2 linked regions of the Astyanax mexicanus genome follow. The protein of the gene in region 1 interacts with the protein of each later gene in a biochemical or structural test. Links are inferred from orthologs where the notes say so. Each region holds a gene or a part of one and is shown in the gene's direction. Other genes may lie near its edges. The genes, in order: ppp2r1bb and ppp2r2ab.

What was found.
Region 2: the proteins of ppp2r1bb (region 1) and ppp2r2ab form a complex in vitro, tested with the Homo sapiens proteins (2 studies listed by BioGRID). The link is inferred for Astyanax mexicanus from reciprocal best matches to the Homo sapiens genes PPP2R1B and PPP2R2A.

What each region holds. Positions count from the first base shown.
Region 1 is NC_064425.1:3,306,464-3,323,259, reverse strand, and holds the start of ppp2r1bb (serine/threonine-protein phosphatase 2A 65 kDa regulatory subunit A beta isoform), read left to right. Parts: upstream 1-10,711; 5' UTR 10,712-10,759; coding exon 10,760-10,837; intron 10,838-12,611; coding exon 12,612-12,702; intron 12,703-12,905; coding exon 12,906-13,006; intron 13,007-14,154; coding exon 14,155-14,387; intron 14,388-16,796. UniProt on the Homo sapiens protein: The PR65 subunit of protein phosphatase 2A serves as a scaffolding molecule to coordinate the assembly of the catalytic subunit and a variable regulatory B subunit.
Region 2 is NC_064427.1:17,945,135-17,961,272, reverse strand, and holds the start of ppp2r2ab (serine/threonine-protein phosphatase 2A 55 kDa regulatory subunit B alpha isoform), read left to right. Parts: upstream 1-7,843; 5' UTR 7,844-8,109; coding exon 8,110-8,116; intron 8,117-13,476; coding exon 13,477-13,554; intron 13,555-16,138. UniProt on the Homo sapiens protein: Substrate-recognition subunit of protein phosphatase 2A (PP2A) that plays a key role in cell cycle by controlling mitosis entry and exit. Involved in chromosome clustering during late mitosis by mediating dephosphorylation of MKI67.

The sequences.
Region 1 (16,796 bases):
GACTGAAATGTTCTGCATTTGTTGTCCATTTTCCATTTTTTTGAAGTTGTTCAACTTTGGCCTGTTTTCTGCACTACAACTGAACACTCTCGCCACTTTTAGACTCTTTGATCCGTTTTCTGCACTACAACTGAGCACTCTCGCCACTTTTACACTCTTTGGCTCGTTTTCTGTGCTACTACTGAGCACTCTTGCTTTTACACTCTTTGGCCTGTTTTCTGCGCTACAACTGAGCACTCTTGTCGCTTTTAGACTCTTTGGCCCATTTTCTGCGCTACAACTGAACACTCTTGCTTTTACACTCTTTGGCTCGTTTTCTGCGCTACAACTGAGAACTCTCGTCGCATATATAGACTCTTTGATCCGTTTTCTGCGATACAACTGTGCATTTTCGCCACTTTTAGACTCTTTGGCCTGTTTTCTTCACTACAACTGAGAACTCTTGTCGCTTTTAGACTCTTTGGCCCGTTTTCTGCACTACAACTGAGAACTCTTGTCGCTTTTAGACTGTTTGGCACGTTTTCTGCACTACAACTGAGAACTCTTGTCGCTTTTAGACTCTTTGGCCCGTTTTCTGCGCTACAACTGAGCACTCTCGCCGCTTTAAGACTCTTTGGCCCGTTTTCTGCACTACCACTGAGCACTCTTGTCGCTTTTAGACTCTTTGGCCCATTTTCTGCGCTACAACTGAGCACTCTCGCCGCTTTAAGACTCTTTGGCCCATTTTCTGCGCTACAACTGAGCACTCTTGCTTTTACACTCTTTGGCTCGTTTTCTGCGCTACAACTGAGCACTCTCGTAGCATATAGTCTCTTTGGTCCATTTTCCGCCCTACAACTGCGCACTCTCCCTGCTTTTAGACTCTTTGGCCCGTTTTCCATGCCACAATTGCGCATTCTCGCCACCTATAGACTCTTTGGCCCGTTTTCCCACTACAACTGAGCACTCTCGCCGCGTATATAGATTATTTGATCCGTTTTTCGTGCTACAACTGTGCATTCTCGCGTCTTTTAGACTCTTTGGCCCGTTTTCTGTGCTACAACTGTGCATTCTCGCTGCATATAGACTCTTTGGTCCGTTTCCCACACTACACCTGCACATTCTCGTCGCTTTTTGGCCCTCTTTGGCCCGCTTTCTTACACCTATCCTTTAAACTTTGAATCTCTTATAAAAACCTGCAGGTCAACTTTTATTTGAATTCTAAAATACCTTGCGGGCCACTTCAACAAAAGAAACGGGCTGCAAATGGCCGTAGTTTGGACACCCCTGCTCTAAATTCTTTGTTCATGCCCCAAAGCTACATATTTAAGTCAGAGAACCTGTCAGAGTCATCAGAATAAAAAGGTCTTTAGTCATCGGTTAAGAACAAGTCAGTCTAAATGATGAATCATAAATCATTAGTACAAAAATACACATTTATTGTTTATGAGAGCCTGAATACAAGAAACTGGACATAATTCACCTTCATATTTTTACTGTCATATAGTAATTTATTGTCAGATCATGTTGTTGCACCACAGAACACACAGAGAAGACAGTCAGTACACTAGGGCTGGGGCGACGCGTCGACATAATCGACGTCATCGATTACGAAAATACATCGATTTGCATAACGTGCGTCGGCGCGCCGTAAACATGGCGGCGCCTGTGGAGAGCATTAGAGGTTAGATCGGTCCCAAAAATTCCGACTGGCTGTTTTCGGGCTGTTTGAATGAGCAAAATATGATCAGAATTATGTTAAATTACACTGTAACATAGAGGCATAGAACTATTATTTAATTAAAATGATTTTTAAGAACAGCTAAACACAGTGCTGCAGGTCAAACGCGGAGGAGTTCACGTGCGAGAGAGAGAGAGAGAGAGAGAGAGAGAGAGAGAGAGACACAGAGAGAGAGAGAGATTTGCGTGTTCTGGTGAGAGCTACTCACAGGTAAAGGTTCTCTTTGATCTCCTCGTGCTCATATTCTAGTCCCATTCATAATTCTGCAGCTCCCTCAGTGTTTTCTGCCGTATTTTGCGTTCATTGGCAAAACGGAAGCTTTCTATACCTACACCTTACCCTCAGCCCTAAACTGAACCGTTTTGGCCAGTCGGGGTAAATATTAGAAACGAACACGTTTCGAATCGGCCAGTGCTCACGGTCTGCTGAGAACTACTTGCCAGTGGTCACAAAATCTAGCGGTCACAGAAAACAGTGCAACACACGGTTGTGATGTATGGGAGCTTATCCATTTTTAGCGTTATAGATCTAAACAACGTGTTGTACATGTAAGTGATTATAAGTGTGGGGTTTGGTTTAGTAGGCTTGTGTTGTTGTTGTTGTTATTATATATAAATATAGTAATTTATCGTTTGCTTTAAAACGTAAAATAATTATTTAAATATGTTTCTCAATGAATAGATTAGTCGACTAATCGAAAAAATAATCGTTAGAATAATCGTTTAAAAAATAATCGTTAGGGACAGCCCTACAGTACACTGTGTTGTATCAGGTTAAAGCTTAGCTTTATCCAGATGTATGTTTTGCTTCGATCCAGTTTAATTATTATATTACAACATGACTTTTTCATAAATTACATTCATTATTATTCTGGATAAGTAAACAAATCAGATGATCTTTTCTAAAATCAGAGCAATAGTGCTGTATATCATTATACACAGATTAAGCATAACATAATGACTACCTGATTATTTCAACATCCATTATCCATTTTTAAACTCCACGGAGCAAATATGAACTCAGGAGATATTTACCAGAAAAAAAATCTAATAGAAATGTATAAAATCTGCTTTGCAGGCTCTGACAACAAGCTTAACTAAATTAAATGTAAGGATGTATGTAGTGAACTAATGGTTAGCTGTTCTGGTAGGTAAGCCAGTTCAGCAGAATATAAACTAAACTAAACTAAACTAAACTAATGGCTAGCTCTTCTGGTGGGTAAACACCAATAAATAATATATTGTGATCCGCAGGACAGAAGCAATTGATAATTTGGGAAACAGCAGACTAGCTGATGTACAGATTGAACAACTGGTTTTGAGAAATTCAATACTGATGTGAAAAATGTCCCAAAGCAAAAGTGAAAAACTGTAATTGACTTGTTTGTGCATTTAATAATTTGTCATAAATTAAACAATTAAACAATAAATTGTTTCTTCAAAAATAATGCTAACACTCTGAGAATGAAGCAAATGTTTTTCCTATAAAACAGGGAATGGAATTTCCCGGAGAATGTGTATTGCCAGATAACAAAATTGCAGTTAAGGGGAACTGTGGAAGTCAAGGCAAGATCTCGAAATATGACCATATAAGAGAAAAGGACCTGTATAACCTCTGGTTTCCATTGGAAATAGCTAAAGTCATGATACTAGCTTCTGTCATGTGATATTTGGTATGTCTGTGTATTATAACATTTTGTAATACAGAAAGTCTAATTTTGGCTTGCTCTGTTATGCTTTGGTACTGTAGGTTGTGTCCGTTATATAAAAACTAGCTATGTGTTGTCAGAGTCTGGAGCTATTCTTAGGTAAAATAACTACCTGTTATTCACTCCTGGCTGTTGATGTGTTTGCTTATTTGCTGTTGTTAATGTTGAAACATCGTGAACCAGAAGACCTGCCAGGCAGCAGACTGTAGAGCAGGGCTGTTTTTTCAGTCAGAGCTTTGCTGGTTTAAAAACAGCCGTACTCTACCTACCACACCGGTCCTTTTAAAAGCATTAACGCAAGGTTTCCATTCAGCTGCAGATCCTTTAAATAAAGAGCTAAAACTCCCTTGGCCATTACTGATGGGCAACCGTGCTGAGAAAACGACATTGTAAAATAGGAGAAAATTGCTGCTCAGTGTTCTCTCATATATTTTTAGTGTCAGCGTATTAAAAAAAAGAACAAGGAGACTCATTTGGAAAACAAATGTTCTCCTCAGGGTAATAAGGGCTACAAAGGAACAGCATTATGCCTCATCCAGTTAGACATTATAAAGTAATCTGTGTACCTCATCATGGCTGAAACACTAAGGAACATCTACACAAATGTAAGATATAGATTGCAGAGACAGGAATAATGGTAAACTTCTAAAAATAAGGTTTTCTAGAAGGGCTGTGACTTAGATGTGCTATGTTCTTGGAGGTGAACAAATCCGGAGCATTAAACTGAATGAACTTTAATTATGTAAAGTACAGTATGTCACACAGTTCAGTACATACTTTACTCCATTTTGGAAAAGCACTTTCTGTATTAACTCTTGTTTTACTGTGTTTTTGCCAGTGCAATATGATGTTTGCCCTTATTACCCATCTCTGGTGATGCAACCAGATTTAGCCATGTTTTTAGACAAACAGACAGAGATGAGGGTGGAATAATTGGGTATTAAAGGCATAGGTGGAGTGATGTGGAGTTGAGATGTGAGTGGAGTAATAGGCCATTAAGAAGATAACACTGGAGTAATGAAACTTTGAAGAGATAATGGAGTTATGGGGCTGGTGAGTTAGAAGGCAGTTGAGGATTATGTGGAGTAATTTGGTATTGAGGAGGAAGTAATGGTTGAATGTTGAAGAAATAGGAGTGGAATACACCATAAAAGGAAGCCCTGGTGGGTAAGACTACATACCTACAGGGCTGGCCTGGTAATTTGGCGTACCGGGCGTTTGCCCGGTGGGCTGACAGTCCTCAGGGGCTGATGCTGTTGGATTTTTTTTTCTTTCTTTTTTTTTTTTAAGAGACCAGCCCACAATTTAGAAGGGGCGACCCATTGGTCTATCTTCAATATAGGCAGTGGACTGAACCAATCAGGATATAGCACGAAAGCGGTCCCACCCTTTCTCTCCGTGGTACGTTCAGTGTTGAGCGCGTTAAAGAGAGGCAGTATGGAGAAACAGATGCGGCAAAAAGGCTTGTTCGGAGAAGTTACGCACAAAGAAATTCACTGTAGTTGTTACAAAATGTGTAAAAATCACAGACATGTTCGCTGCTGTAGCCACTTCCTCCGTAGGTGAAGACAGCAGCAGCAGACCGGGAGAGCAGGCTTGTGACTGAGAAACCGTGGGACAGTTTGAACAGGAATGTGTAGCACTTAAGCAGGTAGTAACGCTATTAAAGTTAGGATAACAAAGGGACTTTGAGGTGATGGAGGGAACGTTAGCTCTATTACATGAGAATGATGAGCAATGGCTGATAAAATAGCAAACGGTCAAGACTGAGAAGTGTTGGATGAGCAGCAAGTGTGTATTTTAGGCTACATCATAGTATTTTAGATATTTAGGTTTAAGGTGTGTTTAAAGGCTGCAAAATATAAAAGTGGTATTAGCAAAAGCTATGCCCACATTAAATAAGCGTAAAACAGTGTCAAATGCTTTTAAGACAGAGTTACATTGCATGAATTTGTAAAGCAGCCCTGTTTGTAGCCTGGTACACAATAAACTCACACAGTTACTAACACTTTGTCACACCTGGTGCTGTAAGTGCTCCTGTCTCTTTCACACTCAGCTTTATCTGCGATCTGCAGCCTCCGGACTCCATTGCCCAGGATGCACCTCACACTGAAACTCGCTCACTCATGATCACATGACACATCACATGCCTCTACCAGGAAGTCAGTCAGCAGAATACTAGGCCTCTTGGCCTATAAAAGGGACTCATTTTGCATGCACCTGTGCTCTGCCGAGTATTGATGTTTTTTCCTTATACAATGCGTTTCTTTTGCCTATTTTTGTATCTCTTGTTTTTGACCTTGCTTTGTTCATCGACTATTTTCACCGATTTTTGCCCTCTGATATTGCCTGCCTGTGTTTGACCTCTAGACTGTTTACTACTCTGCTATGTTATATGGAACATTCCAGGATTTTGGTACATTTACTGTCCCACCGCTTAAATTTTAAATGTACATATCCAAAACATATAAATGACTATTTTTTGTGAAAAATGTACTTGTTATAAGACAAACTATAAAATATGGTGGAAAAATAAGCTCCTTAGATATTATTCAAAAGACCGAATACCTTTGGACCACCTCAAAAAATGGCCGTTTTCTCTTGTCCCACACATTGGGTGACCAACTCCTTTGGCAAATTTAACAATTAAAATAAGCTCTAAATAAATGACTTCCTCTTGTATATTGTTGATCTGCATCTCCTTTACTTATGAAAACAACTTCTTTGGTCTACATTGTATTGCATGTTACAATTTTTATGCTATTAAGTTGTGTCCCACAACATGCGCTCAACCCTGTTACCATAAGGAATTTTACCTGCAGAGAAAGAGTTAAAAATATTTGTCTGCCGGCACTAAGGAAGTGACATCACAAGGACATTTTCTGCCCACATGGCAAGACCAAGAGTAAGTGCTCTAACAATTTTCACGTTTTTTTTCTTTTCCAAATATGTTTGTCCAAGTTGTGTGTGTCTCTCAGTGAACTCAACCCTGTTACTCATACTGTAAGACTAATAATGAGTAGAGTCAAAATTTACTTTATATACTTATATTACCATGTTTGTCCTTGATCTTGTATACATAGCTAAATTTTACAGTTAGCATCTGTTCCTTGGTTAAACTACAACTTAGCCTAGATTTGCAACCCTGTTACTCACAACCCTGTTACTGTAAGTTACCAAATATATTGCATAATCTAATTTTAAAAAACTGCTTTGATACCTGAGCTTGACAAATCAAACTTTTTGATAGTCTATTACCTGTATTTAATAAATATATGACTAAAAATGATCAAATTGAAGATTTTCAGAAGTGACCACCCCTGAAATGTCCAAAAATCCCTTCTGCTGTTGTTTGCCCCTATTAGTATATTTTTGTCTGACTATCCCTTTGTCTGCCCCTTTATTAATAAAGTTATTTAATAAAGTCACGTTTTATCTGCATCAGCGCGTGTCTGAGTCCTGTCCAGCCATGACACACTTTCACACATTCTTCTTTGACTCCAGATTTTTGATCTCCAGAAATTTGCTGTGCAGTGAGAGAATATCGCTGTTGCTCATGCTGTTTTTCTGTACGTGTCTTTCCTCCATGTCTGACCTTTTTGCAGGTTAGGATGTATTTTGCATGTATTTCTCTTGGGTAAAATCAGTGGCACAGCTGATTAATCAACACACGCGAAGCCAAGTATTTCCTCTCTTTCATGGTCATGTTTAACAGGACGGAATGGGAAATAGACTGCAGACTTTAAGACCCTTCAGCCAGGCCTTTTCCTCTGAGAGCAGCTTCTTTCCGATCAGCAGAGGAAGATGAGAGCAGATGAAAGAGCTTAGCTGGACGTTATATAAACAGGAGGGCGCGGCGGCAGCGGCCCCAGCACACCTGGGCCTCGGAGAGGGCGAGTGCAGAGGACTCGAGTGCTGAGATTAATAAGCTCGGGGGGGAAAGTATGAGGGAGGCATCTGAAGAGAAGTGTACAATTCACTGGTGGCAGGGCGAGATCAGAGGGAGCGTGTTGGGAAAGAGGAATGCTTGACGTCATCGGCAGTGGCCTCCAGCTCCTTGATTATTAACAGCTGACGACCCCCTCCTCCTCTTCTCAGCATGTGCCCTTCTAGTCTCCTTACAAGCCCTCACTCAGCAGAGCACAAACATTCTGTGGAGAAGACATGATAACTTAAAATGATTGACTGAAATGATTGAAAAGTACATTTTTATCCTATTTTCTCCCCAATTTACACAGCCAATAATCCAACTTACTCATTAGGACTCCCCCTATCACTACTAATGCCCCCCGAACACCAGGAGGGTAAAGACTAGCACATTCCTCCTCCGACACATGTGAAGTCAGACTTCGTCTCTTTTTGAACTGAACATTGCCGAGTAGCATCACAGCGCTAACGCTCGGAGAAAAATACAGTGACTCGGTTCCAATACATCAGCTCACAGACGCAGCCTTGTGCTGATCCAAATCACCCTAGGAGTGATGAGGGGGAAAAAAGAAAGAGCGCCATCTACAGTTCCCACCCAGAGAGAGCAAGGCCGATTGTGCTTTCTCAGGGCTCCAGCAGCTGATGGCAAGCTGCACAACTGGGATTCTAAATCTATCAAGTTTTTTTGGATGTTCCTTGAACCTTTTTTAAAGTTGTAAACATTCTGGTAACATCATTGGAACATCTTTCGTGTCAGTGTTCTAAGTTTAGTGTTGAAATGTTACTTTTAATGTTTCGCAATGTTACTGTTTATATTTTATACAACTGGGAAAATAATGTGAGAAATGTTCTAATAACATTGTGATGCAAACCTGCAATCTTGTACGACTATTTCTGTAACGTTACCAATGCCAGTTGCATTTACTTCAAATCAAAGACTTTTACATTAGTTTGTCTAAAATTCTAAAAAATTTTTGATTAGATTTCCAGAATGTAGTAATGTAGGAAAGGACTTTCTTTTTAAAACTCATTTTAAAAATAAAAAGCTCATTTTTGTTGTGTCCCTGTTGGATCTAGCAGATTATAACTTTGTTATATAATGTTGTTAAGCTCTGAACCTAGACTGCATTTGCAAGCTCTATATTTAAGATTCAATCTGATAGATTGAATATTTAAAGAACACATTCTACTAACCAAAAATTGTTAGCTGGGCACCAGGTTGGTTTTGTCTAGTTGCTTGAAGTTGGCTCCACCCAAAGGTCTAGAAGCTACAAGAACTGAGACAATGACATTTCCTATGTCACAATTTTTTTAGTATGCTTGCCTCCGGAGTCTTCTAGTAGCAGTTGATTTTCAGAGTGTAGGTAGGTAGGAATAGACTTTTATTTTAGAACTAGAATAAAAAAGCTCAGTCCCTGTTGGTAGAAGTTGATTTCCAGGATGTAGGAAAAGACTTTCTTTTTAAAACTCATTTTTAAAAGAAAAAGCTCATTTTTGTTTGTGTCCCTGTCGGATCTATCAGGTATTGCAAAGCCTAGAACAGGTCCTAGAACAAACCTTGTGAGGGAACTTCTGTGAGAAAATAGAGCAAATTGCGTTTTGCACCTTGCTGTTCTAGGCTTTGCTGATGCTTTTTCCCTTCACATTCTACATGCAAAATAAAGTGTGGGTTGCCCAGATCCAGAAAAAAACATAAATTGCACCAAAATTTCTGAACGTAGACTGCATTTGTAAGCGCTATATGAAGGATGCTTCACTTTTGAACAGCTTTTTATGACACAGCAGTCGAGAAATGCAGTCTACACTGGCTGCAGCCGAGGACCTGGATTTGGAACCTGGCTTATGATGGTGCCAAACAATCAACACATCTGACATAATGCATCATTTGGTTGTTGATGCCATGCCTGTCAGAAAAAAAAAGTCCAAAGCCAGTACATTTTGTCCTGAATGTCACAAGATCCTACAAATTACAACATATTACAACATGCACATAAATACTGCCATGGTACTAGCAAGCTAACACTCCTGGACAATTAAATAAAAACATTTATTCAAAATACTGTAAGATTTGTACACCAACTGCTCAAACTGTGCTCGCCAACGCCACTTAATGTCCCCACACTGGAAAAAAGGGCTTGCTGCTTTGTTTTTAGGGTGTTTTGGTGAGGTTGCTAGTCTATTAACCTAATTTCACACCAGATGTGACAGTGTGTCTGGTCCGCTGGAATCAATCTGCAAAACAACTTAATTCACCCGGCTGGACATGTGCTGTGAGGTAAAAACAGTTTCTGTATGTCTTGTAGTAATACAGGCTACAGGCGTCTTTGTTTTATATCGTTTGTGTACTGTGTACTGTTTTGTGTATGTGTTCATTTAGGTAAGAAGCTTTGTCTTTTTAATCACCACTGAATAAATTATGTAGCAATAAAATAATTAGCCTATAGGTATTTTTTGTCTTGATTTTCAAATAAAAATATATTACAAAACTAATATACTAATATACACTGTATATATATACATATATACACAGACAGTTGTGATTTCAATTTGTCATTAAAAAGTTATTGCTGTACAAGATTTTCAGCCTTATTTCACGTATAAGGCCAAACACCTTATGCAACTGTTTGAACTATAGCTTGAAGATAGATTGTTATTTGAAATGTTTATTGGTTAAAATTGTTCATTTATCAAGAATACTGGAAATTATTAAATTACACAATTACATATAAACTAATAATTATTAAAAGATCCCACCCCTAAAAAGACACAGTGCAATTTTTTTGCTATTTAGTAAGATTTCTGTATGCTTATTGTATCATTTTAACTATGGTTGTAAATGTTGTGTTTATTTTAACCCTCTATAGTGTGATTTTCATATTTGTTGAGGTAAAAAAAAAAACAGCTACAATAATAATAATAACAATACAAAATATATTAAAAATATAATAATAATAATAATAATAATACAATTGTTTCCTGAAAAAAACATCATGTCGTAGAGGGTTAATAGTAATATTTGTTCCCCATTACTTCTAGGCATATTCTTATATTTTTCTATAAATTAATAAATGTTTTAACGCTTTAACCGTGCTCTATGGTGTACTCTATCCTTTAAAAATCAGCCGCCATAATAATAATAATAATAATAATAATAATAATAATAATAATAATAATAATAATAATAATAATAATAATAATAATAATAATAATAATAACTTTGTTTCCTGAAATAAACATCATGCCTTAGAAGGTTAATAAATATATAAATATTGGATTTTCTATAAATTAATAAATGTTTTAACGCTTTAACCGTGCTGTATGCTGTGCTCTTATTTTGGCGGGTGTTTCTCTGCAGAGCTCTTCAGTAGCTGCGCAGTGGAGGCGGAAACAGACAGGACGCTGAAATGGCCGGAGCTGAGGGAGAAGATTCTCTGTACCCTATCGCGGTTTTAATCGACGAATTGAGGAATGAAGACGTTCAGGTAAGCCGTGAATTCGTGTTCAGCTTCTTCTGAGTATATTTACGCGGTTAAACCGGGGAGCTGTGAGGCTGGAGGTGGTGTAATGTGGCGGAGAGCTGTGAGAGGCTAATGCTAGCTCAGCGCGGAGGGCGGGCGGCGGCCTGAGCTCCGGCTGGCCTCGGGCTGCAGCTACGCTAACGCTAACTAACTAGCAGCAGTAGCTAGGTAACCTAGCTAAGCTAAATATAACAGCTTATAGAGCTGTACACCAGCTACCGCTCTGTTTAATAGCGCTACAGAGTTTATCACTGCGGTATTTAGTTTATAAAGAAGTGAGGATGTGTAGTCTGTGATCACCGTGTTTTTAGTTTATAGAGATTATATGATCAGTGACTGCGCATCCTGCTATGCTAATGCTAACAGAGCTTTCCGTCAGAGGTGTGATGGGTTAACGGCCGGGACAGTGGACAGTCAGGTTTATTGATTAGTTTAAATAAACCAGCTGGATTTGTTATATAGCCAGATGTGTTATTGATTCTGGGAAAATACATTAACTAGCTATAGTTTAATAGGTAAAGATGAGCTCCGTCTGCATCCGCTCTCCCTGTTTACCCAAACAGGGTACATCATGAATGGATGAGTAGATGGTGGTTGGATGGGTAAATAAATGGGTGGGTAGATGGATGAATCAATAAATAACGGATAAATGGACAAATAGATGAATTAATATATTCCTCCATAGATTAATGCATAGCTAGGTGGATGGATGGGTGGATAGATTGATGGGTAGATGGATGGATCTATAATTAATAGTTGAATCGATTCATCATTAATGGATAGATGGACAGGCAGATGGATGGATAGATCCACCCATAGATAGAAGCTACAAAAAAATATTTAAATCAATGAATAAAGTATTGTGGTGTGTGTTGGTCCATACTAATGTCATGGCCAATGTTGCTTTATCCTTTCTGGCATACAATAAATACATCAGCAAATATCAGTGTAAAATAATCAACCAAATTGGCTGATTTAATGGTTCTTAAAATGAGAGCAAGTTAATTTGAATATAATTTACTAATGAGCACGGCTCCTGTTCAAACACATGTTTTACCTCACCTGCTCAGATCTACACACCTGTGCATGTCTCCCCACTGTCATGTCTCTTTCTTAACAAAAGTTCCCATAGCAAGTACGGCTGCAACTAATGATTATTTTGGTAGTTGACAAATATGTAGATTATTTCTTTTTAATTAGTTAATGACTATTTCTGCCATGCCAGTCACCTGTGTACAGGTAATGTTCCTAGTAAAATAATAGATACAGCTGTGTAGGATTGTCCTACAGGAGTGTAGGATTTAAATGCTTGATTGTCAGCTAACCATTTGAACTTGATGAAAAATGGTCAGTTGTTATTACTAGAAGCAGTACCAAGAGATAGGGATGTAACTCAGGTTCATTGGCGCTGGACTCAACAACCAGTAACTCAAGAAAACACCATACATACATCTCTCCTCATCATAGTGAGGATGCTAATTTCTCTTGCTGTAACGTGTCACATGTGCATGTACAAACATCAAGGTAGAAAATATGGTTTAGAGGCTTTAAATGTTTCTAATTTTAATATTTCCTTGGTTTAAATAAACCAATTTTCTTCATTTTATATATACCAGTTTGAGTAAAGGGTCTCGTTAAACTTGAGGACATTTATTTAGCTGTTAATATTTCTTCTAAATGTTCTATATTTTATGTGTCCCAGCTAAATGTTCATATGTTTATTTTTTTCCATTTTCAGTTGCGTCTGAACAGCATCAAAAAGCTGTCAACTATCGCCCTGGCCCTGGGTGTGGAGAGGACCCGCACTGAGCTTCTGCCGTTCCTCACTGGTATGACATCTTTATGGAATTATCCCTCTAGATGTGTTTATATATATATATATATATATATATATATATATATATATATATATATATATATATATATATATATATATATATATATATATATATATATCTATATCTCTCATTCTCAGAACGCAAGCCTTTGAACATATAAATATGAGTAATATGTCCTTTTTCTGGTCATGCAGACACTATTTATGATGAGGACGAGGTGCTTCTTGCCCTGGCTGAGCAGCTGGGTAACTTCACCATGCTGGTTGGAGGGCCGGAGTATGTCCACTGCCTCTTGGTAAGTAACAGAGTTGCCAGTTTAAGAGTCAGAAATGACGTATATACCCATGATGCACATTATTGTCTCTAATTTAATTTTCACTTTTTAGTTTCTGTTTTACATTTTTACTGTTAAAAACACACACACACACACACACACATTCCTATCCCGTTACGGCTGTAATAGCTGTAAAGGCAATAAGGATGTCACTTTGGGTTTGTTTGTTTGCAGTTGCTAAAATACCTTCAGTAACAAACAAAATTGAGGTTATTATTGAAGTATAGATCTATATACCTGTATTTTTTGCACTAATAAGGCACCCTAGAGAGTGTTTTGAGCAACACTAGTAAACTAGCCAACTTCTAATTTAGCAGGTCTCACTGCTGTGGGGTTGGGGAGGGGTATCGAACTAAGTTAAGTAAAGCTAAGCCAAGTAAACCAAACTAAAAAACTAAAAAACCTTGGCTGGATGTAGATCTACAGAGATTTATCTCCGTTATTCCCACATTTATCCAGCACTAAGGCTAGAGCATTATCATTAGTGGCTAACTGCTAACCTTGAGTGTTCTGTTAAGCCAGGGCAATATTAGCTAGTAGTTTGTCCCACATAGCTTATTTTAACACCGTAAACACGCAGGCTACAGTCTGATATACTAGCCTCTGAACAAAGAAAGAGAGAGTGCAGTTAGTGGCTAATGCTAATGCTGCTACAGCAGTGCTAGCCAGGGTTAGCAGCAGGCTACAGGTAAAAAATGACTCCCTTCTGACTGTCCGAAGAGCTAGCGCTTAGTCTGGTTAGTGAGTAATGCTACTCTAGCCCCGATACTGGAGAACTAAACTGAAACTCCTGTATAACTCTGTACTGAAGCTGAGTGGCTTTACTGCTCCTTAATACCTGACCTGAAGGCTTTTCAGCAGAATTAAAGGATTTTAAGTGCGCCTTACAGTGCAAAAAATAGGATACCTATAGCTTGTGCCCACATGCTCACTTTGTCAGTAAAAGACTCTTCTGTAAGTGGTCATTTGGTTTTGTGTGCATCACTTAACTATTAACTTCGATTAATCCACACCAGCAGGATTTCATATATTTTATTTCAATAAGTTTTATAAGAGTATAAAGTAAAAGACTTGAAATAATTTATTTATGTCTTCAATTGCTCCACCAGCCACCACTGGAGAGCCTCGCCACCGTGGAGGAGACAGTAGTGCGAGACAAGGCTGTGGAGTCTCTGAGGAAAATTTCGCAGGAGCATTCTCCTGTGGATCTGGAGGTGCACTTCGAGCCTCTGGTGAAGCGCCTGGCCAGCGGTGACTGGTTTACCTCCCGTACTTCTGCCTGTGGCCTGTTCAGCGTGTGCTATCCACGAGTTTCCAGCACCGTCAAGGCTGAGATCCGCCAGTACGTACCACTCAAACTCCCTACTTGCTTCAGTTTTAGTACACTGTAATAGGTGTGACTTTATTTATCTTAGAATTTAGCATTTTTATTGTGCTTCTGTGAATTTATGGATTGAGCCAGTACCAACAGTAAAATGCCTGATATTAAATGACTGGTATTTGGGAAGAAGGGGAAGAGTCTGATTGATTCCTGGAACAAATTTAGCCGAAAATATAGACGAGGATGTTCAGCTCAGATTTAAAACAAATTGGTTCAGTATCAGGTTTTGGCCAGTGCTCAATATTTCAGTGTCCATAACAGTATCAGAAAACATGGTGGTATGCCCTTTATTAGAATTACTGCAGTCTCTTCTGTTTTACAGTTTTAGCTCTGTACATCTCATATCTCACACTAATCTGCATAATACAAAAACAGGAGAATCTCTTGGTACAAAACAAGAGATTAACGGAGAGTATGGAAAATTGAGTCTTAAACTTGGGATAAACACCCTTGTACACTTCTTGTTATGGAATTACTTTGGATGTTAAAGGTTTTTATTTTTTTGCTGAGATTTTAAAAGTATTTGAATAATTGTATTTTGATACAAGCAAAATATCAGGGTTCCCGTGGTTAAATTAAACATTAAGATTTAAATTACATTTTTTTAATTTAAAATAATTTAAATAAAAAAAAACCTTTAGCAACAGTATGTTTAATGTTGGTAAGAAAGCACAGTGGCCTGCTGTAAACATCTAATGCAGAGAGAGAACAGAGATTAGCGGGGGGCTAGCTAACACTAGCGTCGAGCTAACTAACGTTAGCAGCGAGTTAGCTAACTGGAATGTCATAAGTCTTGACCAAGACTAATAAATAGCTACAAATTGTGTGCTTTATTTTACAACTGCGATTCTCAAACATTTCACTTTGTGCAGTTTTTTTTATGGGGTAAAAAAACAAAACCTGTAAGCTTTACAATTTTTTTTTGTGCATTTTTATGTTGTTTTTGTTTTTAAAGATATGGCCAAATAAGATAATGATAAATGGACACTAGGGTTGCAACGGTATGAGATTTTCACGGTATGATAACCGTCTCGGAAAATACCACGGTATCACGGTTATCACGGTATCACAGTTTGTTACATATATTATTAAACTGACCCTTAAAGAAATTACAACAAAGTTTTTTTGTTCAATTAACTATTTATTGTAGAAACTACACCATCAGGTGAAGGAAACCATGTTTTCCCACTACTCTTAAGGGCATTAAGAGCGTATATATATATAAAAAAGTTGGTATATAACCAGATACTGCAGAAAGAGGGGATTTATTTCTGACATGATCCTCACAATAGAGATTTCTATTTTAAGGCTTTCACACCTTAAAACCTTCAACATATGAAAAACAGGCACGTCAGAATTAGAAAATTAACGCATGTAAATGAATGGCGTCTTTCACATCCAGTCCGGCCAGGACCTTTACACGGACACGTGAATCCATCGTAGCACGCACTTCACGCCTGTACCTGCGTGCCCAAATTTCGGATAACTCAGCGCTTTTGCGGGCGCTTACCGCATGGGTTGTGCACGACTACAAAAGTTTTATTTATGTTCAGATTAAAATTATAAACTGAACACATACTTTGCGCTGCACAGCGGGGTGGTGTTCTCGGAGATGGGAGAACAGGTTTGATGTATTTCCTCCTTTAGCTGTGACTACGGCCACATTGATTACAAGCTTGTTGATTACAAGATTACAAGTCTGTTTTCAGGCTGTTTGAATGAGCGAAATATGATCAGAATTATGTTAATTAACACTAACATAGAAGCATAGAACTATTATTTAATAAAAATGATTTTTAAGAACAGCTAAACACAGTGCGGAGAAGTTCACGTGCGAGAGAGAGAGACACAGAGAGAGAGAGAGATTTGCGTGTTCTGATGTGAGCTACTCACAGGTAAAGGTTCTCTTTTATCTCCTCGTGCTCATTTTAGTCCAATTCATAATTCTGCAGTTTCTCAGTGTTTTCTGTCGTATTTTGCGGCTAGCGCGAGCGCTTACAACTAACACCGCGGACCGCGAGGTGCAGCCGCGCTGCCGCTGTTATGCCGAATCCGACTCCCTGCTCAATCCGACTCCCGCTTCGCGGACAGAATCGGCACAACACCTCCCGCTGTAGAACTGCGGGAGTGAAAACAGCGCTTATAAATAAGTTAGTTAAGTTTCACTTTCAGTTTTCGTTATTTGGTTCGTTTTCATTAACAATAATAATTGGTTACTTAGCATTAACATTGTGATTATCACACCAGAGCTTTATTTAAAAATAAAATATATAATTAAAAAACAGATGCCTACATCTCAGACTATTTTCTGGAGCCCAACCCGACCCGGCCCGAGGAATGTGGTGGGAAATCTCGGCCCGAACGGACCCG
Region 2 (16,138 bases), on another chromosome or scaffold:
AATATGCTGCTGGCTGGTGTCCAGTGAGCTGGCTCCGGCTTTGCTCTTTCCTGAGCCTCACACCAGATTTCCCCCCCAGGATGGAAGGAGTAGGTTGGTGGGAGAGCGAGTGAAAGAGCGAGAGAAATAGCGAGAGAGCGAGGGATAAGCTGGAGTGGTCAGGTGGCACCACGGCCAACGTTGCCTGGAGATTTGGCAGACATTAGCATGACTCTTATAGACTAATTAAACAGCCGTCCCTCAAAGATCTTCAACGGAAGGGGTCCTTCCAGGAAAGAGGAGGCCTGCCAGCGCCTGAACCGTCCACCACTGACACTCTGACACCAATTGGTTTGTTTCCAGAACCTCTTCCCCTCCCATTTATCCCTCTACCACTTCTTTTTAGCCTAGCCTTCCTCTCACCTTCCTCTCTTTTGCCTTCCCTCTCTCTCTCTCTCTCTCTCTCTCTATCTCTCTCTCTCTCCACTCACTTTCAGCACTTGACATTTAGGTTCTTTGTTTGGCGCTGTTTTAGTGCAGCGGGGCAAGGCTGCCATCATCTGAGGGAAGAGTGAAAAACTTACTTCTGATGCCACGCCTCCATTTCCTCCATTTCCTCAACCAGACAAACATGCAGCATCCCAGCATGACCAAATTTCCAAACTCCCAGCTTTCCAGAATAGCATTCCCAAATCATAATTTGGTAACACTTTACTTGAATGGTCCTCATTGATGCTCAACTAACATTCAACTGCATGTCTATTAACCCTAGAACACTAACATTAAAACTAGTAACATCATATACCATTGGGTAAAAAAAAAAAAAACTATTTTTTTTATTTAAATCAGGTAACCCTTAACAGGTAATGTCCTAACAAACAAACAAAATAGCGCTGCTGGGATCTTTGGTTCACCCATTCCTGGGACATGTGCCTGATTTAAACACACAAACACTAAAATCAGGTAAATTACACTCATAAAATATGTTACTCTCTATCACTAACATCAGATAAAAATCACCCAATCGCATGCCTCTTGAAAAAAACATAGATGGAAGGAGGGAATCAACCATTACATTACAACTACAACTATAATATTATAACTATTTAATGTAACCCTACATCCAACTCTAACCCAAACTCTAATCTTAACATGTTATGATTGGGTTTAGGGTTAGATTTAAAGTTTAGGTTAAGGTTAGGAGTAGGGTTAGGTGTAGGGTTAGATTTTAGGGTTGATTGATGGTTAAAGTTAATCAGCATTCATTTGAATGTCAGTTGAGCATCAACAAGGCTATAAAACAGACAACCCAAGTAAAGAGCTACCCATCATTCAAAAACATTAAAGGGCCTAAAATAAAATCTACCATATTCTATGAGATGACATTTCCAAAATACTTTGTTACTATTACACTTATATAGCAGCTTTCTGCCACTCAGGGCACTGAGGGATGCTTAAATTTACATTTCACACACGCAGCAGCCAATCGTGCACAGCGTACTCTCAACCGGAAACCACCTGGAGGACTGCATCCAGTTTACCCTCGGCATCTGGGCATATAGCCACACACATTCACACACCAGAGTTTAAATTTTTTGGGCAATTTAGAGTATCCAGTTTCTCCAATATCCAATTTTTGGGCACTTTAGAGTATCCAATTTATCCAATATTCATTTTTTGGGCCATTTAGAGTATCCAATTTATCCAATATAATTTTATTGGGCAATTTAGAGTATCCAATTTATCCAATATTTAAATTTGGATAATTTAAAGTATCTAATTTATCCAATATCCAATTGTTTAGGCAATTTAGAGTATCCAATTGATCCAATATCCAATTTTTGGGGATTTTACCTGATTTCCATGGAACTCAACCCAGATAGGGACATGAACCCAAGACCTCAGCACTGGGAGGTGAACGTGCTAACCATTAAGCCAGAATGTTAGAATGTCCGGTACAGCAGAGGACCAGTGATATAGATTACACCCACAGTAATAATGAACATACAGAATAAGGACCTGTAACCTGTAATATACTCAGCTAGTCAAAGTAGTTAGTCACAGTAAATAAAAAGAGTTTAGAACACAACACAGAAATATCAGGGACTTGAGGGCTTCCATTTACCTAACATCCACCACCTTCTTCAGAATAGGAGATTATAAATTAGCTAGTTAGCTATTTAACAAGTATTTAGAGCTTCTGATTACATCAGTGTTTTATTATATACTGAAGAAATAAGTGAAATGGCTCTAGTCCACATAGCAGAATAAGGTGGATAACATTCACAAATCAGGTCTGCTTTGTAGCTTTTTACTATGACTAATTCAAAAAGCCAATAGTCAGAACGGGTGGAGCTAAAATCCTAATAGGTAGGTTGAACCTACCATATGATAGCATATGCCCTAATGATACAATTCAGATACTTTAAGTCATAAACTAGACAAAATACATGCAAACTGAGACATGCTGTATATCTGCCAGTGGTGTAAGCAACTTTTTCTTGGCACGATTTGTGAATTGCAAAGTCTGAAAACCTTTAACATCCATCACTGTGCGGTAAATACAGTTACTCTAACAAAAGCAGGATGAACTCTTTTAATAGCCTTGATTTCAGCAGATACAATGGATGTACAGGTGTTCTATTACTTTTTGCTTTAAATATGTGAACTGAGAAGTCAAGAAATTATGTTTCTTCTGGAAAAATCCATTTTCACCATTTCCAAAATTCCATTTTCCATAATATGAGCCCTTTGCTCATCATATTGTCTGTGTTTTTTGCTTTTTTGTTGACCCAATGCTTTGTGTTTTGTATCCAGGTATGGACTATGGAGGCAAAAAGGCTGTGAAAGGTTAACTGGGTTTATGAAAAATTCCATTTACTCTAATAGAGGCCTTTTAATCACTACAGGAAAAACCTATCCAACTAATCTCAGCTCACTAAACCACTTCCCTCACTTTGGATATTGCTGAGATAATGGATTGTGAAGCCAGGCCTATCAGTCCAAATGAGCAGCCTGTATGTACCTGCAGCAGCAGCAGCATCAGCATCAGCATCACCAGCAGGGTGATGCAACACTGCCATCTGTTGGCTCAGGGGTCTCGGTCCCGAGCTTCACGCCTCGCTCTGTGATAAAGTGTTCACATTAGGAGCTCCTGAGACTCGTGCTGCCAACCAGTCTGCTGGATAGGAAAGACAACCATCTGCTGCCGTATTCCTGGTTAAGTGTTTACCGGAATACATCATCACCATTATCTTCCCTTTCAAATGTGCTCTGCTTCAGATCATTAGCCCACTCTGTCAAACTGCTCCGCAAAACCTGCTCACCGCGCTCACGCTTTCTCGCCCGCCGCTCTCCGCTCTGAATTATGGGCTAAAAAACTTTCCTGAATATTAAAAACTGAATTAATTCTGCATGCGCATTCACAGCATGCTGGAGAAAGAATTTAAATAATAAGAAATAATAAAGAAAAAAGAAACAACGGTGATCTGTCTTTTCTATAAAACAATGAAGATCTTTTTCCTATGTGAAGATGTGAAGAGTTATCAACCACACATTTAGACAGTTATAGCAGAAAAGTGTATTAATGTTGTAATGTAATACATGTAATACATACAGTACTATATAGTACATATATACTATAGTACATATATGTAATAAGCAAACCCCTGTGAAAAGGAAGTGTACTTAAGTTCATTAAAAGTATGTTCAAATCAGGTAAAGAATACTAAACGTGCATATTCAATTTATTATACGTTTTAAAAATAATACACTAAATATAAATTCTTTAAAAGGTATTTCTAAGCTATATGTACTTTTCCTTATTAAGTATACTTTTACAAAATATACTGAACACACTTTTCTTTTACAAGGGAAAACATGGCCTTTCTTAACAGTATAGTCTGAGGAGAAGGACTAAACATCATGAATATCAATTACAGTAGGCCATAATTAGTCAAAAACATACTTATTTTATTAATAATAAATCATATTATATGTATTATATTTTAAAACAAATTTTGACTTCCCTTAAAAGACGTGTGACTATGTGATTTATCATCTAACATCAAAAATGAAACTCAGTAAACTCAGTAAAGGATAATATCTGGATAAGGACAAACCACATAAAAATACAAATGTAAACACACCTAACACATTTAATCTGATGATTTAAACCACTTCAGAAGATGGTCTGAGAGATTTAAAACAGACACAAATCCGATCACTTTAACTACTTCAGAAGTTCATCAAGCTCACTATGTAGGGCACTATTACGGGGTACAGAATTAGAAAACGATTTAGGACATGCCATTATGTCTGTGGGTATTCTATGTACAATTGTGTGCATCATTTGTACACTGTATGTTACAGTGCACTGAAAACCCAAACTGTTGGATCCCCAAAAGAGTGCACTATAATATAGTAATAGTAGGACAGCAACAATTAGTCAACATTACACACACTTGGTTTGCTTTCTCTCTCTCTCTGTGTGTCTTTAAAGAAGGTGTAAACACACCAGATCAGGGACAAGACAATGACCGTACCCACTGTATTTCAGCTCACTATACATGTTTTTGTGTTTTTGCTGTCTCTGGAGCGATAGAGAAAAGCAGGGAGTGAGTTTACCACAAGTTACTGCTGCTGCACAGAGAGCAGGTAGAGAAGGACAACATTTCTTCTAAATTCCAAATAACAATATTGTCAATTAGAGCATTTATTTGCAGAAAATGAGAAACGGCTGAAATAACAAAACAAAAAAAGATGCAGAGCTTTCAGACCTCAAATAATGCAAAGAAAACAAATTCATATTCATAGTTTTACATTTTAAGAGTTCAGAAATCAATAATTGTTGGAATAACCCTGGTTTGTTTTCAATCACGGTTTTTGCTATGCGTTTTGGCATCATGTTCTCTTCCTCCACCAGTCTTACACCCTGCTTTTGGATAACTTATGTATATTAACTCCTGGTGCAAAAATTCAAGCGGTTCAGCTTGATTTGATGGCTTGTGATCATCCATCTTCCTCTTGATTATATTCCAGAGGTTTTTAATTAAGTAAAATCAAAGAAGCTCATCATTTTTATGTGGTGAGGTTGTGTGTGCTTGGTTTTCTCATTCCGTCCTCTCGCTCCTTCCCCAGCGAGTGTGTATCGCCTCCTTTGTGGCGGAGTGAGGCAGGTTGACGGCGGCTGCCAGTCGCTGCCGCGGTACCTGAAAGCTGGGTCACTTGTTCAGCTTCCACATGCCTACACAATGAGTCAGCCTCTCGGCTGCGCTCTTATCACCACCTCCACTGCTGCTCCCCACAATCCTGTCTGTGTGCCTACAGTCACTCTGGGAGAATTGCGCCATTTTCTAATTCAGCAGCTCGGCTCTGAAATGGGCTCGCTTTAGCAGCTCTCCGCTGCCCACACCAAACTCAATGGCCCGGCTGCCTGAGAATGAGACGGGATGGATTTGCTAATACAGAAAAGGCTGTTGGTTCGTTGTGAGCACATGAGGCCTGTTAACACCGGCGGTCAAAAACAAATTGCTTGCATTGGCGCATGTTGGAAACTGATGTTTAGCAGCTGTTTCTGATTAAACTGATACTGATGGGGTCTCCAATGGGACATTTTAAAGCACCGTAGAGGTTATTTAATACATCCAGACTTGATTTAAACCCCACAGAAAGCATGCAGTATATAGGGCTATGCTCTCAGCAAAAATGGCCCTAAAAACTAGAATAACCGTTCCCATATATTAATAATAGAGATGTATGCCATAAACCCATAGGTTTGAGTTGGGTTGGGTCAGTTTGGTTTGGTTTGGTTTGGTTTGGTTTGGTTTGGTTTGGATTGGGTTGGGTTGGGTTTGGGTTGGGTTGGGTTGGGTTAAGTTAAGTTGGCTTAAGTTTTGTTTGGTTCAGGTTGGGTTGGGTTGGATTTGGTTTGGGTTCAGTTGGGTTAAGTTAAGTTGGCTTAAGTTTTGTTTGGTTCAGGTTGGGTTGGGTTGGGTTTGGTTTGGATTCAGTTGGGTTAAGCTAAGTTGGCTTAAGTTTTGTTAGGTTCAGGTTGGGTTGGGTTCGGTTTGGTTTGGGTTCGGTTGGGTTAAGTTAAGTTGGCTTAAGTTTTGTTTGGTTCAGGTTGGGTTGGATTGGGGTCAGGTTGGTTTGTTTTGTTTTAGTTTGAATTGAGCTTGGCAGGTTTGGTTTGGGCTGAGATGGGTTTGGTTTGGGCTAGTTTTGTTTGGTTTGGTTGGGTTTCCTCTCCTTCAGTTTTGCCCCTCAATCCACTTCTGTTTTATTTTCTCTTCCAATGATTCATCTTAATCCAACATGTCCTCTCCTCCTTTTCATCTTCCTTTTCTCTTTCTTCATACATTTCTTCCACCCACTCAATGTTTTACACTTCACTCTATTCCTCCTCCTCTCCATCCTTCTCTTCTCCTCCTCCACATCTCTTCCATCCACTTTATCTGTATCTTACAATTTCCTCTATTTCTCCTCCTTTTCTCAATCCTCCTCTCTTTTCTTGTCTCCATCATCCTCTTCTCCTCTCTATATACATTTAACCATTCCATATTTATCTCACCCTTTCCTCTATTCTTCCTCTTCCTCTCCATCCTACTATTCTCTCCTCATCTTCTTCATCCTACCCCTATCACATTTTACGCACTTCCTCTTAATCCACTTCTTCTCTTCCCGTCCATCCTACCCATCCCTCTTCTTCCTTTCCTTTCCTCACTTTCCTCTTTACCTTTGTTTCTCCACCTTTTACTCTCATCATAATTCAACCTACAGCTCCTCTCTCCATGCTTCATTCAACTGTATTCCTCCTCCTCTCGCCTTCTCTCCAATCTTCTCCCCATCCTACCCATCCCTCTCCTTCCCTTTCACAACTTCGCTCTTCTTTCCCTTTTAATTCTTTTCAAACTTACTCTTTTCATAATCCTCCTCTTTTCCTTCCTTCCTCTTCTCCATCCTCCCTCACCACTTTCTTTATTTCTCCATGTTTTTCTGTTCTCATTACTTGTTTCTGTTCTCATCTCCACCTCTCCATTCTCCTCCCTTCTCTTCCTCTTTTCCATTATTCCAATTCCCTCTATACCTCCTCCTCCTTCCCTCTCTTCATCCTCCTCCTCTTCTCCTCTCCATCCTACCATTCCCTCTATTCCTCACCCTTCCAAACTTCTCTCTCTCTCTCCATCCTACCCCACCTTTTTCACTTTTTCACTCTTTCCCTTTGTTTCTCCAACCTTTTCTGTTCTCATTTCTTGATCTTTGTCTCCTCCTCACTTCTTCTTCTTCTCCCTCTATCCATCCTCCCTTTTCCTTCATACCTCTCCTTCTTCTTTCCCTCCCTTCCTCCATCCTACCATTTCCTCTATTTTTCACCCTTCCCACCTTCTCTTCCTCCATTCTCCTCCTCCTTTTCATTTTTTTCCTTTATTTCTCCACCTTTTTTATTCTCATTACTTAATTTCCATCTCCCCCTCTCATCCTCCCTTTCCCTCTATACCTCCTCCTCCTTCCCTCTCTCCCTTCATCCTCCTCTTCACTCTTTTCGTCTTCATCTTCTCCTCCCTTCTTCCTTTTCTCCCTCTATCCTTTCATTTCATACCTCATCCTCCCCTCTCTCCCTCCAGCCTTCTCCTTCTCTTTATCCACTTCACTCTTTCCCTTTATTTCTCCACCATTTTCTATTCTAATTACTTAATATCTATCTCCCCTCTCCATCCACCTCTTCTTCTCTTCTCTTCCTCTTCTCCATCCTTCCTTTCAGTCCATACCTCCCTTCCTTCTTCCCTCTCTTCCTCCCTCCCTCTCTCCATCCTCTTCCTCCTCCTCCTCCCCTCACAGAGCGGCGCATATTGACGGCGTGCTTTGGGAGGAGGTTGCGCCATTTTGGCTGTGTAGCAGGAGGAGAGTGGGAGGAGGAGCTGGAGGGAGTGGATGAGCTGTGTTTCCACCGCTGGGCTCTCAGAGGAACCGGAGAGACACTGTAGCTAAAGCCAAAAACAGCGCTGACCACCCAGCCCCGCACCCACCGCGCCCCGGCCACGCACCGCCCGTCGCCCCGCAGCTCTCTCAGCCGGACTGCTCTGCAGGAGCGCGGAGCCAGGAGCTACTGAGACCGGCCTCCCTCTCACCATGGCAGGTAGCGTGCTAACTGTGCTAACAGTGCTAACTGCTAGTTAGCGTGCTAACTGGGGCTTTAACGCTTTTAACTTAGATATCTAGCTGACGTTTTGACATGGGGCTATTTCTAGCTTCATTCGGCAACGTTTAAACATCTGAACCTTCATTAACAGCACGTTCAACTGATGCTTAGGGTGATTGTATGAAAGTATTAGTGATAAAAGACACAGTTTGGTGAATGTTAAGCTAGGTGGGTTAGCCGCTAGCTTAAGAACGATAGCTAATTCAAACGGGCGTTCACGTTTAGCATGTTAGCGTTAGCTAGTTAGCCTAGCTAGTTAGCTTAGCCACACACTGCGGCCGTCCTGCCTGATTTTCTTTTTCCCTCCTTAGACTGTTCGTGATTATTCTCGAATTTCACACAAAACCTATAAAATAATCCACGATTTCATCTCTTTATAGGCTTGGTTTAAATGCTGTCTATCTATCGATAATGATAATTAAACAGTCAGCATTATTTAATGGATAATTTGGCGAGCTAACTCTTAGGTTAGCTTAGCTAGGTTAGCTAGCTTAGCTAACTAGCCTGAATTCCCTCGCTCTTTCCCAGAGCAGGTGGACTGATTCCTTTTTCCAGTCATTTATTTATTGATTAGCTCACTAGCTATTTGGTTAAACTCAATATATTTATAGCTATTTAGTTCAATATATATATATATATATACAATGATATTGTAAACCAGCTATATCATTGTCTATGCTATCTAAAGCTAGCTAGATTGGTTTTAACGAGTGAACTTTAACCAGTCGTGATCAGTTTTTGGTGCTGAAACTGAGAAGCGTGTACTCCATCAGTCTGCCCACCACAACAAGAAACATGGCAAATTTTACACAAACTGTCTCAATTCTGCATTAAATTACTACATATTCCTTTTATTAAAGTTGTAGAACTTTTGTTTTGGCCTAATATTTGCAGTGTAACCGATCTCTAGACCCGTTTTTAAGTATTGGTACGAAATTCAAAATTGAGTCCGATACATTCAGTAAACAGCTCATTCATGATGTTTTATTGTTTTTGGAACATGACTGTGTATATTTTAAGATTAAACCCCGATGTAACATAAATTACAATTTTGTAACTTATGTTTTACCAGTTACTAGGTTCATTAAAGTGTTTAAATTGTTGAAATGGTCAGAACAGAGCTGAAGAAACAGAAAATACACTTTTTAAAAGGAGCTAGTTTTGTTTAATCTCAAGCACTCTCAGCACTACTAGTCACTATCTGAGTTGTATAACTTTGTTTTAGCCTGATATATTAACAGAGAAACTGATCATTTAACTATGAGTGTATAAAAGTAACTTTTGGAGACTTAAAGCTAGGTTGAATCATTTCCTCAATTCAGAGGAAGCAAATCATTAAATGGAAAAAAAAAGTGATTTAATATAGTTTGAATCAGTACTGAGCAGTATGACCACAAATGTATATTACAATATTTTTCAAGATTCTGGCAGTTTCATGGTATATCACTTAATATTTTTTTATGTATTTATTGCATGACTGGACTTAAATATAGGTTTGTGGCTTACTGTACTGTTATGAGTACATATAATATAAAACTATGTGTTTGAACGAAGGCTTTGATTAGTATTGCTTTACTTTGTTCCCCAAAATTACACAGTATATGAAGAAATCATACTTAATTAGCATAAAAACAGCTAATTAATGTGAACAACAGATCTTAAAAAGAGATATGCCAACACATTTAACATGACAATGACATCCTTTACAAAACTATTTTTTTATAGTTACATAAACACTAGAAATGGACATAAAATACTCAGTGTTTAAGTATTCAAAAGATATATTTCTCAAAAGCTATAAACTGCCCAGCACTAGTTTGAATTGAAACTGACCGATATGGAAAAGTTGATATGATATTTCTTGATTTCGGCTGGTACTGTCCGTCCTGCAGGTGGACGGTGGTTTCTGGTTGAGAGTAGGCTGTGCACGATTGGCTGCCGCTTTTCAATGGTCTGTGTGGATGAGTGCTGCTTAGCTTTTAGAGTCTTGGTCCTGAAACTGTACCACATCATTAATCACGATTAATCACACTTTTTGTTTCTTAAGACTAAGTTTTATTAATGGGTATTTAAATTTGAATCCTCCCGCTTATTCATCTTCTACATTTTCATCCTCTTTTTCACTTCCTCTGCATCCTACTATTGTTTATCCTCCTTGTTCTCCACTTCCCTTTTCCCCTTTATTTATGCCTTTTATCAACAATTTACTCTAATTATTTAACCTTCTGCTTCTTTTTTCTGCCTCTTCTCCATCCTGAAACTGTGAAGCGTGTACTCTGTCAGTCTAAACATGGAAAATGTACAACAAATGTACAAACTGCCTCAATTCTGCATTAAATTACTACATTATTCTTTATCAAAGTTGCAGAACTTTTGTTCTAGCTTGATATTTACAGATAAACTGATCCCAAATGTGTTAAAGTAGCAGTATATTTTGCAGCTATTTGGAGGTTAAAACACTTCATCAGTATAAAGGAAATAATCTATACAATTAAGGGAAAAGAGGAAATTATTTAATAGTTTGAAAATTCCTATTTCAGCTTTCACTGTACAACAGAATGCCTTCACAATTGGATTGTGCCATATCATTTCATACACAATAAAATCATAAGTCCTTTTAAAATATTGTGAACAATATTATATAATATATGTGAAATATGGTGCCATATCACCCATCCCTAGTTATCACATCAGGGTACTACGTTTTTGTTGCTGTTTTTAGCTAAATAAATATCCACACTGTTCTCATTTCCCATTATACATCAGATTATATCTGTGCAGTATAATTAATTATAAATTAACTCAATCCTGGATATATGGAGATATTTGGTGTGCATTATAATTAGTATCATGACATTCTGGATCATTGACTTCTGTTACAAATCTGCTAAAATTCTTGGTTCTTAGATTTTTTAAATATCTCAATTTATATCATATGCAATAATACCATTTAACTTTCATTTTGTTGCAGTTGTATTTTTATTTATTCTAAGTTTCTTTTTTTTTTCAATTCAGTGTTTTGTCATGTCGCCAAGAGTATTGTTATCGCAGAAATACCATGAAATATCGTGATGTATTCAATTTTAGGGCCATATCGCCCACACCTATTAGTTACAAGATTCCTGATGTAAGTGGGGAGAAGGCCTGTTAAATTTGGTGTTTTAGGTGGCACCTCGTGGCAAAGAACTCTCTAAGGATGTGGGAAATAGGATTGTTACACTCCACAGCCCGCCTAGTGAACTCACTCAGATGTTCCTTCATGTTCCATATAAGCTTCAGGACCTGTCTTGCAGTAATAATTCTGTTAAAACTAGACAATGAGAAGCTCCATCTCCAATCCAGGTCTGACCAGTTTATTGTGCCAATTAATGCAGAATCGCAGAGGAGTTGCACCAACCTGTTTCCTTTATCCATCCCTCGCTCCAGAGCTAGCGTTAAAGACATGAAGTCATAGGGTGTGATTTGCTTCAAAGGCCGAGCTGAAGCTGTTCTTTCAGGCTTTATTAATTGCGGCTGGGTTTTAAAGTGAGTGGAAGACTCTGCAAGGTCACAGATCTTCTCGCTGTCTGTCTCGCTTCCATCCTGATACGTTTTATGAGACCGCCACGCATCACACATCCTGGTCTTTCAGCACCTTTTCTTACTACCTCTTTTGCAGATTGACTCAGCTTTTCCCCTTTTTTCCTACCAGGCTGCACCATTCAGCGTGAATAAGCTGGATGTGTTTCTTATTCAGACTCACTTCCTGTTCAGAAGCTCTAATTTTGGTGTAATATAGTCTAGGATCATTTGAAAAGTCTTATTTTAAGAGATGGATCGGGTTGATTTCAGGGTACGTTCTGTCCTGATTTGGCAAAGTCAAACTGCTGTGGCTGAAAAAATCTTAAAACTTCAGCTTTTACAGTAGAAGGGGTAAATTATAGAAGGATTTTATTTTATGAGTGATATGGCCCTAAAATAATATCACAATATTTATACTTTTGTGATACCAATAATCTTGGCTTTATGACCAACATTGACTTTAGGGATGCACTGATATGGTCATATGGTAATTCTGGGCTGATGTAAAAATCCAATATTACATATGAACATACAGCTTCTGAATCAGTTTCTCCAATTTTGCTATTTCTAGGTGTATGTTTGTGTAAAATTAACATTGTTTTATTCTATAAACTACGGACAACATTACTCCTAAATTCCAAATATAAATATTGTCATTTAGAGCATTTATTTGCAGAAAATGAAGAAAATGAGAAATGGCTGAAATAACAAAGATGAAGAGCTTTCAGACCTCAAAATTCAAAGAAAACATGTTCATAATCATAAAGTTTTAGGAGTTCAGAAATCAATATTTGGTGGAATAACCCTGGTTTTTAATCACAGTTTTTATGCATCTTGGAATCATGTTCTCCTCCATCAGTCTTACACACTGCTTTTGGATAACTTCATGCCTTCACTCCTGGTGCAAAAATTCAAGCAGTTTAGTTTGATTTGATGGTTTGTGATCATCCATTTTTGAATGTAATTATATTCTATAGGTTTTCAATTTGGTAAAATCAAAGAAACTCATTTTTAAGTGGTGTCTTATTTTTTGTCCAGAGCTGTATATACCTGCCATTTTTTATTAAAGTTTTAAAGTAGCGTCTTCGGTGTGTGTCTACAGCGTCGTTCGGTTCTTCAGTCTGGCATATAATAAGACAGACAGCAAATACCGGTTTAATGTTTCTAAGATAAAAAAAAAGAAAACATTAGTTGATAAATAATACAGATATATTTAACAATGGTGTGTATTATTATGGTCATGTAAAAACTTTGTTTCTCCAAAATGGCAACGTTACAGGAAAAGCAAAAAAAAAAACAGTTTATATTAATGAAAGTTACTTTTAGCGTTTTTAGAGCATTTCCTTAAGCTCTTTAATCATAAAACAACTCTTGGATTTCAAAAAAAAAAAAAAAAGGCAGACAGAGTAGCATTTGGTGATAAGCTGTATTATATAAAATATTTTATTCTTAAATGCTCTGCAGTTGTCTCTAAAATGACCGCGCAAGTGTATGAAGATGATCTTTCTGCAGGAATTTAAACCACTTTTTAAGTCACAAACCAAAGTCTGTGTGCTGTAAAATTATTGGCCTGAGATGCCTGTGATGTTGAACATGGCCTGAGTCTGTGATTTTTGCCTGTATTTGCTGATCACAAATGATTACAGATAAAACAGTAAAGCAGTTACCTGTATTAATTCATATTGGTGCAAGGACACTTAAACACACTTTTGTTTGTTTCGTGTGTGTGAATGCAGGTGCCGGAGGCGGGGGCAACGATGTGCAGTGGTGCTTCTCGCAAGTAAAAGGGGCCATTGATGATGATGTAGCTGAAGGTAGGTGAACTTTTTACTTTTGCATTTTCCCTATACTGTCATCGAGCTGATGACAAAGCCGGAACCCCTGAAATTCCTGTGTTTTAAAAAATATTATTGCATCTAAAATGCAATAGAATATCATTAAAGAGTTTTTCAGTAATTCAGTTCGGAATGTGAAACTCGTATATTATATAGATGTATTACACACAGAGTGATGATTATGAAGCTTACAGCCACTGAAAACCCAAAAATCAGTTTTAAAAAATTGTAATATTATATAGGACCAATTGATACTTTTGGAAGTGTTGTCAGTAGCAGAGGGAAGCATGAAGTGCTGGAAGATTTTGTGGGGAAACAAAACTGCACTGACTTTAGACTTGATAATAAAACACAGTGGATCAACACCAGCAGATGTTGCACATGACTCTCCAAACCATCACTGATTGGTGGAAACTTCACACTAGACCTCAAGCAGTTTAGACTTTGTGTCTCTCCGCTCTTCCTCCAGACTCTGCTCCCTTGATTTACAAATGAAATGTAAAATTTACTGATGATCAGTGATGGTTTGGAGAGACATGTCATCTGCTGGTGTTGATCCACTGTGTTTTATTATCAAGTCTAAAGTCAGTGCAGTTTTGTTTTCCCACAAAATCTTAAAGCACTTCATATCTTACAGCTTCTCTCTGCTGATAACAACTTTTATGGAGATGCAGATTTCATTTTCCAGCAGGACTTGGCACACTGCCCACACTGCCAAAAGTACCAATTGGTCTTATATAATTTTAAAATTATATGAGATGCTGATTTTTGGGTCAGTCTTTTCATAATCATCAATAATAAAAGAAATAAATGCTTTGAAGAGATAAAAAGTTTTTTCAAGGATATTCTACTTTTTACTTTTTTTTATAAGGTGCACTAGTATATATTGGGGAACAATAAAATAATAGTCTTAGTTTTCTATCTGTTCTATATATCATTAAATGCGCCAAATTTATTGGCAGTGGTATGTTTGAAGCAGTGTGAAAAATGCTAGTGTTCCTTTAGGTAGTCTTTCAGGGATAATAAACGAGTCCCAGCATCAGGAATTGTGCAATAACTGTCAGACTGGATTTGACTTATTACTGATTGTTTGCAAATATGTATGAAGAAGTGGGAGCGCAGCAGGTACGTCCTGCCTCGTCATGTTCGCAGCGAGCCGGCTCTGCGCTGCACACCGGAGAAATGAATTCCATTACTGTGGCTGTATGTCAGATCTGCACCATTCCAGAGGAGGAACGTTTTGATCCTGCATGGCTTTGGCTGAGAACATCAACCTCAGCGCCCACATGCTGTGGCTTGTTGTTGGGAAGCCTGGATGACCTAGTGTTGGATGTGTGCTTTTAGAATCCAGCAGATTGTTCTTTTCCAGAAGAAACATATCGTATTGTCCTCAGCAGTAGTGATGTACTGTAGCAGAGCATCGGTATAGATCTGCCACCACGGTTTGGTATGCATTTAAAACACAAATTACCATATTTTTCGCACTAAAATATTGCACCTAATATCTTTAACTTCCCCAAAATTTCTAAAGTGCGCCTTATAATAGTGTGCACCTTATGTATGAATTCTAGTAGCAGTAAAGCCGCTCCACTGAAGTACAGCGCTACACAGGAGTTTCAGTGAAGTTTCTCCAGCACCGAGACTGGAGCTGTATTAGCATTAGCCGCTAACCGCTACCATGTTAAAACAAGCTACTGCCTTACTGGAACACTCAGAATTTACTAGCGCTAAGCACTGCTGCTAACCATGCTGTTGAAAATATTGGTTAATCTAAGCTTACTGTAAATAAATGGAAGCGCTTTACTCACCCAAAATAACAGTTTTTAGGAAAGAAATCTGTGTAGATTAACATCCAGCACTTGTTTGACTAAAAGAAAATGTTTGGAAGGATACTGTGTCCTTTCCTCCCTTAAACAGTGAGAATTAGACATGGTGACACCCCTGTTCCCTACTATTGTCGCTTAAACTGTGCCTTATAATCTGGTGTGTCTTATGTATGAAAAGAAACCAGAAATTAGACTGTAATTGGTGGTGCGCCTTATAGTCCGTAAAAAAACGATACTTGATTATGGGCGTTTTCACACCCGAGATTAAAGGTTCATGTGTCTTTGTATCTTTGTACATTTAATCCGGTTAGTTTTGGTTTCACACTTCTCTTTAGTGACTAAGGATGGTTTCATACTAACTTCAGACCTTTCAGTTTGAGTCTGAACAAAAATTGTGGGTGTGAAACCGGCATGAAACAGTCTGCACTTCAGAACCAGAGTTTGGGCTCAACCAAAAGAGGTGTTTTCAGTGGTCTGGATCTAATGAAACATGGTTTGATTCTTCTGCAGTGTGAAACACTGTGCTAGATGGTTTTAGACTTTTTTTTACCAATTACAGGAAGCTGAGTCAGTCTTTTAACAGGGTTCGTAAGGTCATGAAAAATCTGAAAGTCCAGTACAATTCCCAGGCCTGGATACGTTTTTTTTTTTTTTTTGTTTTGTTTAATAAAAAATCCTAGAAAGTTTGGAAAAAGTAATGGAAAGTTGCAATCTACAAATGTGTGCTTCTCTTTATC